Danio rerio: one gene and its partners. The protein of the gene in region 5 purifies or fractionates together with the protein of the main gene of each other region. This does not show direct contact. Links are inferred from orthologs where the notes say so. Each region holds a gene or a part of one and is shown on either strand. Other genes may lie near its edges.

Region 1 (4,263 bases), on a different chromosome or scaffold from region 5:
AATTGCTTTGAAATATGTAAAATAATCGATGAGCTTACGCGCTTCTTTGATGATGTACAACCAAATTATGATAAAACGTTATAATATATGTATATATTTGAAATAATACATGTATATATTTTATGTTTGAGTGAAACTAAACTATTCAAAATAGCATTGTCGCTCGTGATTAGACAGTTTCATGCCAGTTTTTCCCTTAATAAACGATTACCATTTATTTAATTAAATAATTATATTTTAAATTAGTTAAATATAAAAACTAAAAGAAATATAAATGTAATTGTTTAAAATTATGAATATGCTTTGATATCTGTGCAACTAACAAAAGACAATTTATGAGTTATCTGTTTATGCATAAAATAAACAAAAAAAATAATTAAAATTAAGCTTTAACTATTATATTACGAGTTACATCAAAAATTCTTCGATTTTTATTTATTATAACCTAATAATATAATTTATTAATGTAACCTTTATTATAATGTTATTATAACCTTATTCATTATGTAATTTATAAATGTAACCTTTTGCATTATTATTAGGCAAAACGTTACCTTTAGGTAAAAGATTTTAAAATTATGCAATTCAATGCATATATACTGTAAACCTAATTTATTATTATTATTTTTTTAGCAGTATAAGTAAAACAAAACACTAAATTTAATGATGAATTAATGATAAAATGTAATGTCAAACTGCTTTGTATATTGTTTACATTGTAAAAAGGGCTAAAGAATTAAAGATAAACTAAATTAACTGAAATGTACTTCATAATTTTTTCTTTATTTTTCAAGAAACCCTTAGTGTTACTGTATATTTTAGTTCTTTTTTTTAAATTCCTTCTACAGTGCGGAGCACCAATTGGCCACAAATTGTCATAATGTTGGCCCGCAAAGGTCTTTTGCCTGATGGGTTCTTGTTAACGCGACTCGCTGAAGATGCACAACCCAGCCGCATCCGGCCAAAGTCACAAAGGGCACGTTTTATCACCAAGAGCGGCTCATGTAATGTAGCCCACAAGAATATTCGAGAACAGGTGAGATTTTCCTATCAGTTCTAGGCTAAAGAAAAGTTTCAATTGACTCAGTTGCAGTGTTCATAAGAGATTATTGCTTCTCAGGGTCGGTTTCTCCAAGATGTGTTCACCACCATGGTGGACCTGAAATGGCAGCATTCTTTGCTCATCTTCACCTCAGCGTTCCTCTGCTCCTGGATGCTCTTTGCCATGGTGTGGTGGCTCCTGGCATTCGCTCATGGAGATCTAGAACCTCGAGATCCCAATGAACCCGGACCTGTGCCGTGCGTCACATCCATTCACTCCTTCACTTCTGCTTTTCTGTTCTCCATTGAAGTGCAGGTAAGGATCAATCTGGATAGATATGACTCTGTTTCCATCTAGAATTATTATGACATGCATTTTCAGTAATCTAAATATTTTAGACTCCGCATACATTTTTATTTAATGTCATCCACTTGTGATTGGACTGACTGAAACGTAATACTAGTTGTCAAAACTGAGGGAGAATAAACAATGTAATATTTTTGGTAAACTATACCTTAACAGCGCTGAACAGGATGTGAAGTAGAAGTTGACGTCAATCTTCTGTGGAGGCGGGGCTTATCCACTCTATTACATCATAGAGTAGAACATTCAAGAATCTGTTATCTTCAGACTGCCTTCAATATAATCTGTATTTAGAGGAACCACAAAGTGTTCAGTTCTAAAACTTACAGGATATTTTTAGAGAACTATGAGCTCTTATATGTAAAAAAAAAAAAATTAGGTGATTTTTAGGTTTCACAGTTCATGACCCCTTTAAATCGTCTGTAAGATAATGAAGCATTTGTAATACCAGGTAACTATTGGTTTCGGAGGACGAATGGTGACAGAGGAGTGTCCGCTGGCCATCATAGTCCTCATCATCCAGAACATTCTGGGCCTGATCATCAACGCCATCATGCTTGGCTGTGTGTTCATGAAGACAGCTCAAGCCAACCGCAGAGCAGAAACCCTCATCTTCTCCCGCAACGCAGTCATTGCCCCAAGGAATGGCAGACCGACATTGATGTTTCGTGTTGGAGATCTGAGAAAAAGCATGATCATCTCTGCCAACATACAGCTGCAGGTGACAGATGTGTTTATTTCTTTACTGATGTATTTAAATCATTGAAGAACCTTAACATCCACAGAACCTTCTATTAGAGAGTTCTTCATTTTAGTCCTTTAGATCAGTGTTTCTCAACCACGTTTCTTTGAGGACCACACGCTTTGCACATTTTCCATGTCTCCTTAACCAAACACACCTGATTCAGACCGTCAGCTCATTAGCAGAGACTGAAAGACCTGTAATTGGTTTGACGGACAAAGGAGACATCCAAAACATGCAGTGTTGGTGGTCCTCCAGGAACGTGGTTGAGAAACACTGCTATAGATCTTTAATATGTCCTTCAAACTAAGGTTATTTAATCATTATTTTATCACCAGGTTCAGACAACATAAAAGCAAGGCATTTGATGTCAAAATGATGGCAGATATGTAGCTTTAAAGATAGTATAAATTCTGCCTTAAAGGGACAGTTCACCTTAAAATTAAAATTCTGCCATTACTTGGCAGAATGGAAATCTATTCAGGCATCTTGAATGCAAGAATTTAGAAATTCGACATGGAGAGTGATTTTCATACACATTGATTATCATAACAAACACAAATTATGTGAAGTGTGAGCCAAAAATGCTTTATATATCATGTCTGTACCAGATATTCTTGAGTTTGATTCCATCCTGATCTTGATATTTGCTCCTCAGGTTATTCGGCGGACAGTGACAGCGGAGGGCGAAGTGATTCCCGTCTGTCAGTTAGATATCCAGGTGGAAAACCCTCTCAGGAGCAACGGCATATTCCTCGTCTCTCCACTCATTATCAGTCACACCATTGACAGAGGGAGTCCACTGTACGAGCTCTCAGCGCAGTCAATGGCTACCGAAGATCTGGAGATCATTGTCATTTTAGAAGGTGAATAGAGTCTACTTTCCAGTACTGGGTTGTGGCTAGAAGAGCATCTGCTGCATAAATCATATGGTGGAATAGTTGGCGGTTTATTTCCCTGTGGTGACCCTTGATAAATAAGAGACTAAGCCGAAGGAGAATGAATGTTTGATTGAATAGAGTCTGCTTAATGTAATTGTTTTGTTTAAAAGCCAAAGTATTTTTAAGGGATTATCATAGATAAGCTCTCTAATATGTGACCCTAGAGTACAAAACCAATCATAAGTGTCAATTTTGGGAAATTGAGATTTATACATGATCTGAAAGCTGAATAAATACATTTGTCATTGATGCTGAGATGCAACTATTTCAAAATCTGGAATCCGAGGGTTTAAAAATATCTAAATATTGGGAAAGCTGCCTTTAAAGTTGTCTAAATTAAGTTATTAACAAAGCAGGCCTGTAGCCAGGGGAGGGTTTCAGGTGGTTCAGAAGACCCACCCCTCATTGACAAAGGCCCATAACTACTATGTCATAATAAGTTGTGAAAATAATCCATGGAAAAAGGCTTTAACACCATGTGGAATCCTGTGTTGGTTGTTGCGTCAGCATGACTGAGGAAAGTTGAATGTGCGGGACGGTTTGCTTTTTATGTTAATGATATTTAAATAACAATAGGCTAAAGTTTTTAATTTAAAACTTTAACAAATTCCTATTTTTTCTAATGATGCAATTGATGTATATGATGTAAATGATAATTGATGTAAACCTTAACATCAAAAATGTGGTTATGATGACCATCAAACAAGCTAATCCAGCAAAAAAATAGTGCTTAAAATGTTACAAAAATGCAACTTATTTTAACCTCATAATTACATAGAAAAAAATTAGGCGAATAAATGCAAAATGGTCAACTTTTTAAGAAAAAAGATCCACACCCTTCACCAGGCTGGCTACAGGCCTGTAATGCATATTACTAATTGAAAATTAAGTTCTGACATAGTAGACTCTTATTAAGAGTATTGTCTTAATCTTATTAATGTCGGACTATTGGTGTCCCTGTTAACATACTCTACTTCTAATGCCTTATCTGTCATAATTTTAGGCTTTCTAGAATATTTTACTATGAAATTTTCACCGTATTAATGCCACTTATTTTGGAATTACCTGCAAGACATTTTTATTATTGATAATAATGATTACACAATGCTTTAAAACATGTTTACCTATTTTCTCAGTGTTTGCTGAAGAATGTAAAAAATTACCTTAAGTAGGAC
Region 2 (3,517 bases), on a different chromosome or scaffold from region 5:
CACGTTTCTCACATTTTTCAAAATGCCTTCATTTGTTTTTAAAAGTTACTAGAAACTCTTATAGGTTTGAAACAAGTAAAGGGTGAGTAAATAATGATAGTTTTCAGTTTTGGGTCAACTATACCTTAAAGAGCAACAGAAATTTCCAGAGAAGAAGTTGTATAAGAAAGAGAACTTGTGTATAGAGTCTGCCTAGGGATTGGAATAAAACAGCGTTTTAGAATGAAAACGATACATGTCCACACTGGCGTTTCACCTAGCGATTCTGAACAGCTCTCTGTCCACTCTACACTGCTGAAAACGCACATCACCTGACCACACACATACACTGGCATGTGCTGCAGCGTATGCGTGTGACTGAGCTCCAGGCAGTCAGCGTGCTTTTAACACACCTCAATATTTTTGGTGTCTGTTAAGTTGTTAATATCAAAATGAAAATAGACAGTTTCTTATATCACGTTTTCATTTTATTGTTAAGATAGTGAAACCGTGTAGCCAGGGTGTTGTGAATGAGGTTATAAAGTACACTGATCCCTTTGAAGATTTACCCGACGTGTCCTTCACCATCACTGGCCCTTTTCCTTCTGTAATTAACCACAAATTATTCTTGGTAGAATTAATGTGAGCTGCTCTTTTCCACATGTCATAGGTGATGAACATGAAAGGAAATTTAGGCGATGAATTGAAATATACTAGTATTCTAAGATCTAAGTTCTGATATCGGAGTTAAACAAGCTCATCTAAAATAAAGACAGTTCCTTTGGCAGCATGTGCTAAAAGGGATGGTTCACCCAAAAATTTTACCCCACCCGCTATTTACTCACCCTCGAGTGGTTCCAAACATTTGAGTGGTTCCACGTACTACATTTGCTGGCATAACTTGTCTTAATTTGTTTTTCTGTCTTTTCAGAATGGAACTCACTCTAAACCTGCCAATAATGCCCTTAAACAGCGCAGTGACTTCACTCTCATGGCCAAGTAAGAGACATTCAGATCAATGTTTCTCTTTGGATTTTGCCTAGTGTATTTTTACTTCAGTTCAACTGCGTCTTGTCCTGCTTGAATCTTTGACCCCCTGACATCTGGTGTTGTTTCTTTGTAACAGGAGAATTGGGAAAGACTTGAGCAACACATTTGCTAAGCTTGAAAAGCTTACAATCTGTGAGTAACATATCAGTAAAAAAGTGTACAGTGTAGTTTGTGAAATTAATTAACACAGTACACATATTCTGTGCATGTCCTTCCTTCATTTTTCCTTATAGTCTACAACCCGCACATGTGTTTTGACAAAAAGAATAATAAAGTATATAAAGAAAACTTTGTACTTAACTTATTAAAAATTGGTATTTTAACAAATCTAAAACTTGTATATCAGTTCTTTATGTTGGTTCTTATGCAACTCTCTAAAATGTAAAAAAAAAAAAAAAAAATATATATATATATATATATATATATATATATATATATATATATATATATATATGCTCTCTAAGATTGCATTTGTTTATTTGCAAAATTCAGTAAAATGTACAGTATTTAGCTTTTTGTTTAAATTGGGTGTCATCTGATTAAATAATACGTTTTTTAATTATTGTGAAGCAAAGCTATTATTAATTTAGCACTTACAGAAAGTATTCTTACATACTGATTTGCTGAAAAATAACATTTCTGATCAATGTTGAAAATAGGTTTTTGTGGAAACTTTTTTTAGTATTCATAATACTTAATAGAAAGTATAAAAGAAAGTATTTTAACCAATATTTTGTACTACTATGAATCACTTTACAATCACTGATTCAATTGTATTTAATACGTTATTGTTAAATGTGCGTGCGTATGTTTTTATATATATATATATATATATATATATATATATATGTATGTATGTATGTATGTATGTATGTATGTATGTATGTATGTATGTATGTATGTATGTATGTATGTATGTATGTATGTATGTATGTATGTATGTATGTATGTGTGTATGTATGTATGTGTGTGTGTATGTATGTGTGTATGTGTGTGTGTATGTGTGTGTGTGTGTGTGTGTGTATGTGTTTATATATGTTTATATATATATATATATATATATATATATATATACACACACACACACATATATGTATATGGATGGATGGATGGATGGATGGATGGATGGATGGATGGATGGATGGATGGATGGATAGATAGATAGATAGATAGATAGATAGATAGATAGATAGATAGATAGATAGATAGATAGATAGATAGATAGATAGATAGATAGATAGATAGAGGGTCATTTATATGGATACACCTTAATTAAATGGGAATGGTTGGTAATATTAACATCCTGTTTGTGGCACATTAGTATATGTGAGGGGGCCAGTAAATAACTCATGAAAGAATAAAGTTATGTTAAAACCAAGCACACCATTGTTTTTGCTGTAAAATTTCCCAATAAGTTTAATAAGATGTATCCATATAAATGGCCCACCCCGTATGTATATATGTGTACATGCACTACCTGACAAAAGTCTCGTCGACGATCCCAGTTTTAAGAGCAACAAATAATAACTTGTTTTCTAGTTTGGATCATTTGGAAAAGTGGCAGAAGGTGGATTTTTCAGATGAATCATGTGTTGAACTGCATTCCAATCATCACAAATACTGCATAAGACCTAATTAAACCTGCATGGACCCAAGATTCTCACAGAAATCAGTCAAGTTTGGTTCAGTATGGGGACGTGCGAGAGATCTGCAGAGTGGATGGCAGCATCAACAGTCTGAGGTCCAAGACATTTGCGCTGCCCATTACAAACCACAGGAGAGGGCAAGTTCTTCAGCAGGATAGCGCTCCTTCTCATACTTCAGCCTCCATATCAAATTTCCTAAAAGCAAAGCAGGTCAAGGTGCTCTAGGATAGGCCAGCCCAGTCACCAGACATGAACAATATTGAGAATGTCTAGGGTAAGATGAAGGAGGTGGCATTGAAGATGAATCCTATGAATCTTGATAAACTCTGGGAGTCCTGCAAGAACACTTTCTTTGCCATTCCATATGACTTTATTATTAAGTGATTTGAGTCATTGCAGAGCTGTATGAATGCAGTCCTCCTAGCTCATGGGAGTCATACACAATATTCATTGTTTTTCCACTGCACCATGACTGATACTGTACATTATTTCTGTTAAGTGACAAGACTTTTGTCTAAGCAAAGTCAGACCTTACTGTCCTAATTAAATAATTAAAGATCAAGGCTTCATCATATTATTATTATTATAAAATAAGTGTAATCTAGAGGCCTTTGCTTTTCATGCAAGTCATGTCTGAATCCAAATGATCAACTGGAAGTCAAGTTATTAATTGTTGTTCCTAAAACTAGGATAGGCGACAAGACTTTTGTCAGGTAAGCTATATATATATATATATATATATATATATATATATATATATATATATATATATATATATATATATATAAATATAAATTCATTTACCAACAAAAAAAAAATCCAATCTTTGTAATGTTGACCTG
Region 3 (4,230 bases), on a different chromosome or scaffold from region 5:
AATGCCACACCACACAAAATTGAAATGTGTGTAAATGTAATGATTTAGAAGCATTTCTTGACACTGAGATTCATTCATTAATTTTCTTTTTGACTTAGTGCCTTTATTAATCTTGGGTTGCCACAGCGGAGTGAACTGCCAACTTATCCAGTATATGTTTTACACAGCGAATGCCCTTCCAGCTGCAACCCAACACTGGGAAACACCTATACACACTCAATCACACACATACACTATGGCCAATTTAAGCTTATCCAATTCACCTGTACCGCATGTCTTTGGACTTGTGGGGGAAATCAGAGCACCCAGAGGAAACCCACACAAACACGGGGAGAACATGCAAACTCCACACAAAAATGCCAACAGACCCAGCCAAGACTCGAACCAGCGACCTTCTTGATGTGAGGCAATCGTGCTACCCACTGTGCCAACGCGTCGCAAACATTGAGATGAAATGCTCAATTTTATATTGTTGAAAAAGAAATGAATATTCAAAAATTTGCATATTAAATGTAAAAAAATATTTGTGTATATATAGTCAGTGAAACACTTTTCAGTGTTTATTAAACTCATTTGCTCATAGTCTGTTTCTTTTAAAGTCTGGGTAAGTTTTTTTAAACTGTGAGGAAACCCACACTAACAATGGGGGAACATGCAAACTCATTCATTCCATTCATTTTCTTGTCGGCTTAGTCCCTTTAATAATCCGGAGTCGCCACAGCGGAATGAACCGCCAACTTATCCAGCAAGTTTTTACACAGCGGATGCCCTTCCAGCCGCAACCCATCTCTGGGAAACACCCAAACACACATTCACAAACACTCTCATACACTACGGACAATTTAGCCTACCCAATTCACCTGTACCGCATGTCTTTGGACTGTGGGGGAAACTGGAGCACCCGGAGGAAACCCACACCAACGCAGGGAGAACATGCAAACTCCACACAGAAACGCTAACTGACTCAGCCGGGACTCAAACCAGCGTCCTTCTTGCTGTGAGGCACTGAGCCACCATGTCGCTCCCATATAAGGCTTTGTACTATCAGTTATAAAAAGTAAAACAGTTCTTTGAAAGAACCTCAGAATGAAGATAAATTCAGAATTGAGAGAAAGTCTATACATTTTCTATAAAATAAATAATAGTGTCACAGATTTTTGAAAATCTGACTTGTCTTAGAGTCTGAACTGTGAGAAAGTCTACAGCTGTTTGCAATTTTTCAATTAAATTAACCCTGCAAGTCGTGTCAACTTACTTTTGAGAAATGAAGTCACAGTTTGCTGAAGAAAATGTTAGAATTATGACAAATAAAGACAAGAATTAACCGCAATACTCGCAGTAAAAACTTCAGTACCCAGAAGCCCATGTAACTTAAACGCGTATCGTTTAATCCTCTGCGGCTTCCGTAAGAGGTGTCGTGGCGCTTGTGAAGTTGGAGGGGGAAAGTACAGATTCTCTAAATATCAACATTAGCGAATATTTGTCACATTATTTTACAGACTGCAGTGATCGTATCCACGTCATATAGATTACTGGGTTGACAATGAGGCGCGCTGGTTTGGGTAAGTTTGCGTTTTTATGTGTCGTATTGCTTGAAGCTTATGCTAAGCTAAAATCTCAACTCAATTAGAAAACTTAACGTTATTGGTCACAGTTTATGACAGTAAGCAATCTCTGAATGACCAAATCATCACCCACACATTAACGTTAAATCCAGGTGTGGAGAATTAACGTTAACGTTAAATGGATAAATAACGTTTATTAACGTTCTTGCAGTAACTAGCAACTCCTATTTCTCTATTTCACCATCGTTGTTATTGAGGTGAAGTTGTTTTTATATTCGAACATTTGTTCTGTGACAGCTCCCTGTATTGTTTACCTTTATGCTAGTTTGAATATTCGGACTGAAATCACGTGTAAGTATGACTACAAAACAACACTATATAATTTACTGTGAACAATGTTTTTAATAGTCTGCTAATATAATTTCCCTATTTAGAACTTCCAAATAATACTTTTCTGAAATCATATTATTAAGGAGAAAGTTCGAATGTGTGAATTTAAAACCAGCTTTACGTCAGTGGCGTTATTTATTAATCATGTTTACATATATATTTATATCATACAGAAAAGCAACTTCTGTGTATGAACAACACGAGATACTGTAACAGCATAAATATGACACATCTAAGCTGAAATTAAAAAACCTTCTATTCGAAGTAGGGCTGGGCGATATTAAAAAAGAATTCAAACTCGTTAATTATTTTCCATATGAAGCATAACATCATATATTTCAATACAAGTTGGCAATGCTTCCAGATTTAAAATAGTACTTTAACATTGACTGAAGCCACAAAAATAAGAGTCCATTAGATCAGTAGTTCTCAAATTAGGGGTCGGGACCCCTTGAGGGGTCGCAGGACAATGAAAGGAAGGGTCGCCTGGGGATTTCCAAACATCTATTTATTTTTATTAAACCGGAATTACCATATTGTAACCTACTGAAGAGAAAAAAAGTCATTTAGAGTTACTATAAACTATATAATAACTTATAGTTACTAGTTCTATTGGATTGTGACCCCTGTAGTAATTACATAATATTAAAGACACAGCAATAGCATCGGATGCAGCAGATTGATTTTATACCTGCTTAAACTTTCTGGCCCATTTACAGCACTGAGATACATTTTAAAAAATTACACAAAGAATAAACCTGGGTGTATTGGCGTGTGTGCACCATTGCATGCAAGGTTTCTGTATTTATAACAACCTCAGATGATATTGGGGGTCGCGAGTCACTGGCATTGTCATTTTGGGGGTCGCGGGCTGAAAAGTTTGGGAACCCCTGCAATAGATGGCAGAACATTTTTTTCCAATAAATTTCCGTGGCTGAAAATTCGGTGCATCTCTAATATCAACACCCTTTTGGATTCCCATTGTTGCACATTTCTGCTGTGTGATTTGCTCTTAGATCAATATAGAGTAGAAAAGTCAAGAGATTGTCATTGTTATTGACAAAAATTTTATTGTGATTCGATATAATATTGTTTATCGGCCCAGCACTAATTTGAACAGTAAAGTATGATTGATAAAGCAAATAAAACCCATTTTAAACTTGATAAAATGAGGCACCAAGCAAATAATCTACCTTTTAATTTAAAAAAACATTCATTATTTTGCAAATTTCAACATTTTGTCTCATGTAGACAATCAAGATTTTATCCAGAGTTTTTACTTTTCGATTTTAAATAGTTTCTGATGAACATTTCAATCTTATTTGTTTAGGTTTTTCAAATTCACTTCCAACTTTAGAGAATATTTGATCAATCAAATCAGTGCATACTTGTCAATTACTCTTAAAGGGATAGTCACCCCAAACAATTTTTATATTTCACAAAAGAAGAAATTTTAAACAGAGCTAAAAACCTGTAACCATTGACTTCCATAGTATTTGTTTTTGCTACTATGGAGGTGAATGGTTACAGGTAGCATTGGCACAATACTGGAATTCGATACCAATCGGTACTGAAATTTTACAAACGTCCATTTCCTGCTTACATTTGAGCGCTGTTGAGCCCATTCTTAAACACTGTTGATTTGCTGTTGTGTTCACATGCTCAACAGAAATGACTGTGATTGGCCGTGAAGGTCATTAGTTCACCAAACTCAACACTGTTTACTGAGTGTAAACACAGATACAGGGACACAAGCATTTTAAAGTCACGTCAATCAGCTGGTTTGTCTATAACTTCACATACAAGCGATCTGCTGATGAATTGCGGCTTTTAAATGCTCCAGTGTCTGTATCTGTGTTTACACTCAGTGAACAGCAGTGAGATTGGTGAACTAATGACCTTCACTGCCAATCACAGTCATTTTTGTTGAGCATGTGAACACAATGGCAAATCAGCTGTGTTTAAGAACGTAATCAACAGTGTTTAAATCTTAGCAAGAGATGGATGCTTTTTTAAGCTTCAGTATCGATTGGTATTGAATTCCAGTATCGTGACAACACTAGCTACTAGTTTGAAACATTTAAAGGGCGAGTAAACATTGACAGATTTCATTTTGTCGTGAACCAGTTCTTTAAGGCAACATTTCAGTTTACTGTAATAAGATTTATTATTTTTAGTACTAAATACTTGATTTTAAATGTTTTTTTTTTTAAATTCCGTTGGATTTGACCTGACCTGAATGTTTCTTGTACAGGAGAAGGTGGCCCTCAAGGCA
Region 4 (3,517 bases), on a different chromosome or scaffold from region 5:
CCAGTTCAGTCTCATAAACTTCAGCAATGGTGACGTGGTGTTTTGCTGCGATTGTAAATCGGCCCTGAAAGTTGTGAAACACAAAACAAAGAAAGCACAGTGTTTTAGAGGATCCTCTAGTGGGCTGTTTTCATTTCACCAAGGCCAGCAACAAACAGGCAAGATAAAAACCACTGATATTTCACCTAAAGGAAACGACTTGACTTGCCTTATCTCAAATTTCTATCTAGTTCATCTGTAAATTCTTTCAATGAATGGCTTTTAAAAGTAACAGATTATATTGATAACACTAACAAAAGCACAAAGGCAATGTCTTTTTTTAACGTTAATAAGCAGCTTCTAGTTATTAACTGCAAATCGTGGCAAAATTTTCCAAAACAGCATTTCATCTTTAGCTTCTTAAACATCTAGAATAAAGTAATAAAGAATTTTACAATTTTAGTTTTGATTTAAAGAGTTATATATAAAGTCTATACAGGACTGAAATGTTAAATGACCTATAAAATTACGTCCTTTTTAAAAACTGTTGCTTAAATTTTTAGATTTTTAAGCTATAACTACAAAAGTTCTTTTCTTGATCCTAAATGTACAGAATGTCTTTAACAGAGAGTTTCATTTTGAATTGAATGTAACCTTTTTTGTTTGTTTGTTTTATTGTTGAGCTATAAAAAAGAAAACTGAAATTAAACATTTCAATTAAATGTCGTAAATGAATCAGCTTTTCAAAAATGTAAATATTGTCTCTCCACAAATAGAGGACAATGCCCAAAAACGCTTGACTTGTGTATTGGGCACTGAACTCCATTGTGTAATAAACGTGATTGACTGTTATAAGTTGATTATAAAGCGTATATATTATTTTTTTAATCATACTGCATTAGTTCATATAAAACAATGTTTTTTTTTTTTTTTTTTATTATTCATGACAACTATAATGCAATACAGTTTGCTATATTTACATTCGGCCCACAGCCCTCAGTCAAGTTTGGTTTTTGGCCCTTCATAAGAAAAAGTTTGAGCACCCCTGGTATAGTGCATACTAAAACACATGAATGATGTTACTATGCCCTCTAGTGGCGTGTCAACTAACTTGCAGCCATGTATATATTGAACAATTTCGAAAATCGTTTTTTACAAATGAAAAGAGTCTAAATTATTGTGAAGCACACAAGCAGCTCTACTAATATTTAAACACTGTCTACAAACTCAGATTTCAGAAATAGTCTTACCATGTCTGTATAAATCTCAATGGCCCTGTTCAAGCAGTTTATGGCCTCTGTGGAAAGAATGACAGTCAGCTTTCAGCTTTCGATAAAGTGCATATTTATATTTTATATATATATATATATATATATATATATATATATATATATATATATATATATATATATATATATATATATATTGAAATGACTGTGCATGGATGCTTATTGACTGATAGCCAATACTAGTTGCTGGCAGCTGGATGTTTAGAAGTGTAAAACAATGAATGTGAAGTCAGGAAAATATACCTTGGGGGTCTGACTTTTTGAAGGCATTGCCGGCATCAATGAAGTTTGTGGCTGCGTCATGTTTACTCTGCATCTGCAGGTGTAGAAGAGCCGCCTGAGAAAAAGCGTTTCCTGCAGCTGACAAACACATTCACACAAGAGAACACAAACATTAGTGTGGACGTTAATATTTTCACAACTTAAATATGTTTTGATCCAGTTATACTTTTAAATGAAGTCAAATCAATACAATGTTTATTACTGCAAACTTTAGGTTTGTGTGTCTTTATCGCCATCTCTGTTTGATATGTGCAATTGCAGATATTTGCAGAACTATATTCGTTATTTGGGTTGAGCATTGGCGAGGACGAATGTGATGTTCTGCTGTGTATATTTATAAATTTTCCTTCAGCTTAGTCTTTGATTTATCAGAGGTCACCACAGCGGAATGAACTGCCAATTATTCCAGCTTATGTTTTACACAGAGGATACCCTTCCAGCAACAACCCAGCACTGGGAAACACCAATAAACTCTCACATTCACACACACACACTCACACTTCGGCCAATTTAGTTTACCCAATTCAACCAGTGACCTTCTTGCTGTGAGGCGACAGTGCTAACCACTGAGCCACTGTGCCGCCCTGCTGGGCATATCAAGTTGTTAATCACAGCATTCTACATCTTGACAGTTTGACCAAATAAATAATTTTATTCTGACCAGCTGAGGGTTAGGGTTAGAATGCTGGCTAGGTTTAGTTGCATGTTATTATGCATAATTACTTGTAATTAAAATAGTAAGGACATGTAAAGTGTGTAAAAAGGACACCAAATAAAGGATTATAATAAATTGTGCTTCATACATATGATGACTAAATCTAATAATGGCCAATTAAATCATATCAAAATAAAATGTGCAACTTATAATTGCTATAATCTGAAATTGTTAGTCTCAACAACATCAGCAGTGCATGACTCTAGTATATATGACTCAGATCTACAAGTGCAACAACACACACACACTGCATATTTGCATTAATCTCTGCACACATCTCATATGTTTAAACTGTTATATTTGTGTTTATGATTTATATAAGAGCAATATCACACTCATAGCAGTGCGATATGGCTGTATATCAGCACTGGTGGGAGGCGTGCGTTGGCACGAGGCCGCAGGCCTTAGCGTCCCACCAGTGCTGATATACAGCCACATCGCACTGCTATGAGTGTGATATTGCATTTATACAACAGTTCCACGGCACAATTAAAAAAAAGAAAATCAAACACAGAGTCTAATACCCTTTTGTATGAGGAACTACTTTCTTCCACCATTCATTCACATCTGCAGCTGACGTCAGAACAGCAAAAGACGTTACTAATTCACCAACGTAATTTAAGAGTTAGTATTTGAATGATTCTCTTTAGCGTAATTTCTACTGATGACAAAATAGCTGATTTGTGCTTACATTTTAAGATTATAAGGCTGAACATGGCATGAAATGCCATCTGTCTCCAGAGCTTTCTCCCTACAGTCTATTACAGTCTACAGTATTTCTCTGTTGCTGTCGATGTTGTGACGGGTGCCTGGCGTCCCGCATTTACCCGGAGACAGGGATGAAAAAAAAAGAAGACAAACTATTTCGCTCTTCCTATCGGCCTTTATGCGTTTCTCCCAAGTGCTGTCGACTACATACATGCCAGTTGACGACAATGAGTAGGCAAAAGGAAAAGAAAAAGACACACTCAAACATCCCTCACAAATAAAATGTTACATTATTGAAATAAAAGAATGATACAGCAGTAGAGCGACCTGAACTGAACTGTTCTCCCATATCTCCCACATCTCAAAGGTCCTCTTGAAGGGGATATGACATTTATACATGATGCATATCAAACATGAAGCCACCGTTACAATATCACAATAATTAACCCTGAAAAAAGCAGCTTAGTCACTACCAGACTGCTGTTGTGTTTGCGTTAAGGAGGGACGAATCTGAATCCACCTTCTTATTCGCAGTTTCTTATTG
Region 5 (3,517 bases):
GGTGTTGCGAGAGATGGATTGAGGTCAAATCCAGTTTGAAGGCCAGTTTATTTTGACCGAAAAAAATGGGTTCAGTGGTAATTGCAAATAGCAAAATAAGAGTTTTTCTCATCATATATGGTACCACAACATCTATTTCAAGGTGCACAAATGAAAAAAGCGGCCTGCAGAGGTGCCAGAGCATTGCAGCTCAGATCAATAAGTCATTATCCAATCCTGCAGTCAAGATCTCAGGGTTACAACCAGAACTACATCACATCTGTGCCTGTAGATCTCCAAAGAAAACTTGCAGGGCCTTTGTGCAGTGCTTTATCAGATAGACCACAATGACACTGTAATATAACCTCATCTCAGTTTTCACATTTTGACATTTAATTAGCAGAATTCAATTTTTTTTTTTTTTGCAAAGATCAGAATGTGAGAAACAGATTTCTACTATTACTATTGTTTACTTGGTTTAGTATGTATATATATATATATATATATATATATATATATATATATATATATATATATATATATATATATACACATATACACACATATATATATATATATATATATATATATATATATATATATATATATATATATATATATATATATACATACATACATACATATATATATATATATATATATACACACACACATATATATATATATATATATATATATATATATATATATATATATATATATATATATATATATATATATATATATATATATATACATACACATATATATATATATATATATATATATATATATATATATATACACACACACATATATATATATATATATATATATACACACATATATATATATATATATATATATATATATATATATATATATATATATATATATATATATATATATATATATATATATATATACACACACATATATATATATATACACATATACATATACATACATATACATGCATGTTCCTTTTAATGCAAACTTTATAAATGCTTTGGCTATACATTTCTAACATTTGTCATGCCAATCCGCTTGTTAAGTGTGACGTCATGCGAAGCGGCTTCCGGGTTCAAGCGCTCTATTCAACTGAATGGGGGACTCATGAAATGGTAATAATAAACGTTTACAAAGCGATTTAATGCTTTCAAAAATCACGATCGCAATATATATATCCATGCCTAATATCCGATGGCCAGAAAGTTATTTTTTTTTATAAATTGTTACAATTTTGGTATTTGATATGCAGCAAGCCCGGAGATTGTTGTGTACACTATGACTTTATATAAAATTAACTTTAATGTGTGATAGGAACAAAACGTGATCATAAACGAATGATTTCTCCACTCAAATGAATGGCGGCTTGGACCCAGAAACAGTATTACATACGTCACAAACACGTCACCACTTAACAAGCGGATAAAACAATTATTAACTTGAAACTCAATTCAACTCATCGGCATAAATCATTTTTATGGTGAAAATCATTCTGTGTTTTTAAATATGCTTAACTACACATTAGATGAGGTTGGTTTTCAAAACTGCCACTTTTCAGACAATTTAAAAGAACACTCACTCAATGTCTTTTCTCACAGATCCCAAAAGGTCCTCTCTCTCCCTGATTGCCATGAAGTTTGATTTGGTTTTATGAAATTCATGTGTGTAGTCCTACAAAAGAAAACAGGGTACAAGAGGTATTAAATTTAGAAGCCAGGCAATGTTAAATAAAGGAAATTTCTTATTATCTTTAAGATAAAGTTTTCATAAACACTACTGTTCAAAAGATAGGGGGTGGTGCTTTTGTTCACCAAGGCTGCATTTATAAATTTTTTTTTTGGCAATTCATTTAAAAATATAATTTATTCTTGTGATGGGAAGTTGCATTTTCAGCTTCACATCATCATTGTCAAAAATCTTCAAAAATAATTAATAAAAAAAGACACTGTGCTCAAGAAACAACTATTATAATACTATTATTATAATAATTTTTATTTAAATAATATTGTTGTTATTAATAATATTATTGTTATTGTTATTTTTATCAGTACTAAACACATTTGTGCTGCTTCATATTTTTTAGATGAATTTTTCAAGATTTATTTTATGAATATAAAAAAGAAAAAACAAATTGCTGCATTTATTTAGCATATAAGCTTTTGTTACATTATTAATTTAAATAGTTTTAATAAATTGAAAGCATTCTTGTTAAATAAAAGTATAAATTTTTTTGAAAAAATCTGACCCCAAGGCTTTTGAACAGTGTTACATAACAATAGTTGCCTGGCTTTTATGAACAATCATGTAACTGCGATTTATTTAAAGAAATAAGACGTAAAAAAAGTCACCTGTAGGATGTCTCTGTGTCTCTGGAGAGTGTGCATCAGAGCAGCGTTCAGAGACGTTACTCCCGGTGTGCTTGTATATTCAGCCATCTTGTCATTCACCCCCGTCAGCTTTAAAAAGTAATAAAATGTGAGAGCAAATAAGACACTGATCAAATTAATAATGTTAAACAAATTTCAACTAATTGCAATTCAACAATTTGCTATCATTAAAAAATATTACTGAAATCTGCTGTAAAGATATTGCGAATGATCACTAAAAATATCATTAAGTATTAAACAGATTTGTTGTATTAGTCTTTTCTAACTGGGAAGAATATCAGACAGATAAGTTTTCTGTCACAGCATGATGAAAAATATTTTATAATAAACACTGCGGATGATCTAACTATCATGATGTGGGTGTTCTACACAAATATCAGTGTGGTTTGTATGTAACTTGTATATAATATTGGATAATATTTCTAATCTGACACTGCACAAATTATAATGAACCAAAATAAATATTTTTCTAAACATTAACGCATTTGCTTTGCATTTATTAAATAGAAAATAATATCTATTTTTTCCCAAATTGAATTTAAAGGGTTAAAATTCTCAAAATAAATTCTTTTTTGGTAGTTATGATTAAGACTGAAGTTATTAAGAAGACCAGTCAGTGTAAATAGAATAAAATTTTGATATGCCATGTACTTATGACTCTCTTTTTGATTTGTAAAACAAGCAACGAAGGAAAAAACCTAAAAGGTAGACTGACATCACAATTTAGGTGCAGTGTGTAAACGTGTCCTATATACTGCACCAAAAACTGGCATACTGAAAGCCTTACTTTTGCAAGTAACTGCTCAATCTCCACAGACATGGTCTCAAACATTCTGTCCTGAGTGGAGTTGCAGAGCAGAGGTGTTGTATCGGAGCTACTGAAAACAGAGGGAAAAGAATTGTGTTATTACCTCCACCATCTTTTTATTATTTATCAAACATCAAAATTTCCTGTACGAGTTACGGTAGCGACAGTCACACCTGTCTCCTCTGCGGCCGTCCCGAGAGCTGCTGTAACTGGTGCAGAGCTTACTGAAGGACACAAGCTTCAGGTCCAGCTCATTCTCCAGCTGCCTCGCCTGTTTCCGCAGGTCTGTCAACACACAATAAAACGAGATAACATTCTGCACTTAGAAAATGAT

What was found.
Region 1: the proteins of gosr1 (region 5) and bet1l purify together in Homo sapiens (affinity purification with western blotting; 3 studies listed by BioGRID and IntAct, with this or other methods). This does not show direct contact. The link is inferred for Danio rerio from reciprocal best matches to the Homo sapiens genes GOSR1 and BET1L.
Region 2: the proteins of gosr1 (region 5) and stx5a purify together in Homo sapiens (affinity purification with western blotting; 3 studies listed by BioGRID, with this or other methods). This does not show direct contact. The link is inferred for Danio rerio from reciprocal best matches to the Homo sapiens genes GOSR1 and STX5.
Region 3: the proteins of gosr1 (region 5) and bet1 purify together in Homo sapiens (affinity purification with mass spectrometry; 3 studies listed by BioGRID and IntAct, with this or other methods). This does not show direct contact. The link is inferred for Danio rerio from reciprocal best matches to the Homo sapiens genes GOSR1 and BET1.
Region 4: the proteins of gosr1 (region 5) and napab purify together in Homo sapiens (affinity purification with mass spectrometry; 3 studies listed by BioGRID and IntAct, with this or other methods). This does not show direct contact. The link is inferred for Danio rerio from reciprocal best matches to the Homo sapiens genes GOSR1 and NAPA.

Annotation. Positions count from the first base shown.
Region 1 is NC_133200.1:8,372,454-8,376,716, forward strand, and holds the start of bet1l (BET1-like protein), read right to left. Parts: upstream 2,806-4,263; 5' UTR 2,756-2,805; intron 2,127-2,755; coding exon of another isoform or gene 1,857-2,126; 5' UTR 1,854-1,856; intron 1,690-1,853; exon of another isoform or gene 1,628-1,689; 5' UTR 1,557-1,627; intron 1,396-1,556; 5' UTR 1,358-1,395; coding exon of another isoform or gene 1,121-1,357; intron 1,037-1,120; coding exon of another isoform or gene 881-1,036; exon of another isoform or gene 849-880; intron 1-848. Other genes in the region: kcnj11l (potassium inwardly rectifying channel subfamily J member 11, like), read left to right, coding at 881-1,036, 1,121-1,357, 1,857-2,126, 2,806-3,013. UniProt on the Homo sapiens protein: Vesicle SNARE required for targeting and fusion of retrograde transport vesicles with the Golgi complex. Required for the integrity of the Golgi complex.
Region 2 is NC_133189.1:9,153,346-9,156,862, forward strand, and holds part of stx5a (syntaxin-5a), read left to right. Parts: intron 1-910; coding exon 911-978; intron 979-1,105; coding exon 1,106-1,161; intron 1,162-3,517. UniProt on the Homo sapiens protein: Mediates endoplasmic reticulum to Golgi transport.
Region 3 is NC_133194.1:43,532,847-43,537,076, reverse strand, and holds the start of bet1 (BET1 homolog), read left to right. Parts: upstream 1-1,417; 5' UTR 1,418-1,543; coding exon 1,544-1,562; intron 1,563-4,209; coding exon 4,210-4,230. UniProt on the Homo sapiens protein: Required for vesicular transport from the ER to the Golgi complex. Functions as a SNARE involved in the docking process of ER-derived vesicles with the cis-Golgi membrane.
Region 4 is NC_133193.1:47,639,263-47,642,779, reverse strand, and holds part of napab (N-ethylmaleimide-sensitive factor attachment protein, alpha b), read right to left. Parts: intron 1,629-3,517; coding exon 1,512-1,628; intron 1,277-1,511; coding exon 1,230-1,276; intron 65-1,229; coding exon 1-64. UniProt on the Homo sapiens protein: Required for vesicular transport between the endoplasmic reticulum and the Golgi apparatus. Together with GNA12 promotes CDH5 localization to plasma membrane.
Region 5 is NC_133190.1:27,282,424-27,285,940, reverse strand, and holds part of gosr1 (Golgi SNAP receptor complex member 1), read right to left. Parts: intron 3,469-3,517; coding exon 3,357-3,468; intron 3,254-3,356; coding exon 3,163-3,253; intron 2,445-3,162; coding exon 2,337-2,444; intron 1,660-2,336; coding exon 1,568-1,659; intron 1-1,567. UniProt on the Homo sapiens protein: Involved in transport from the ER to the Golgi apparatus as well as in intra-Golgi transport. It belongs to a super-family of proteins called t-SNAREs or soluble NSF (N-ethylmaleimide-sensitive factor) attachment protein receptor.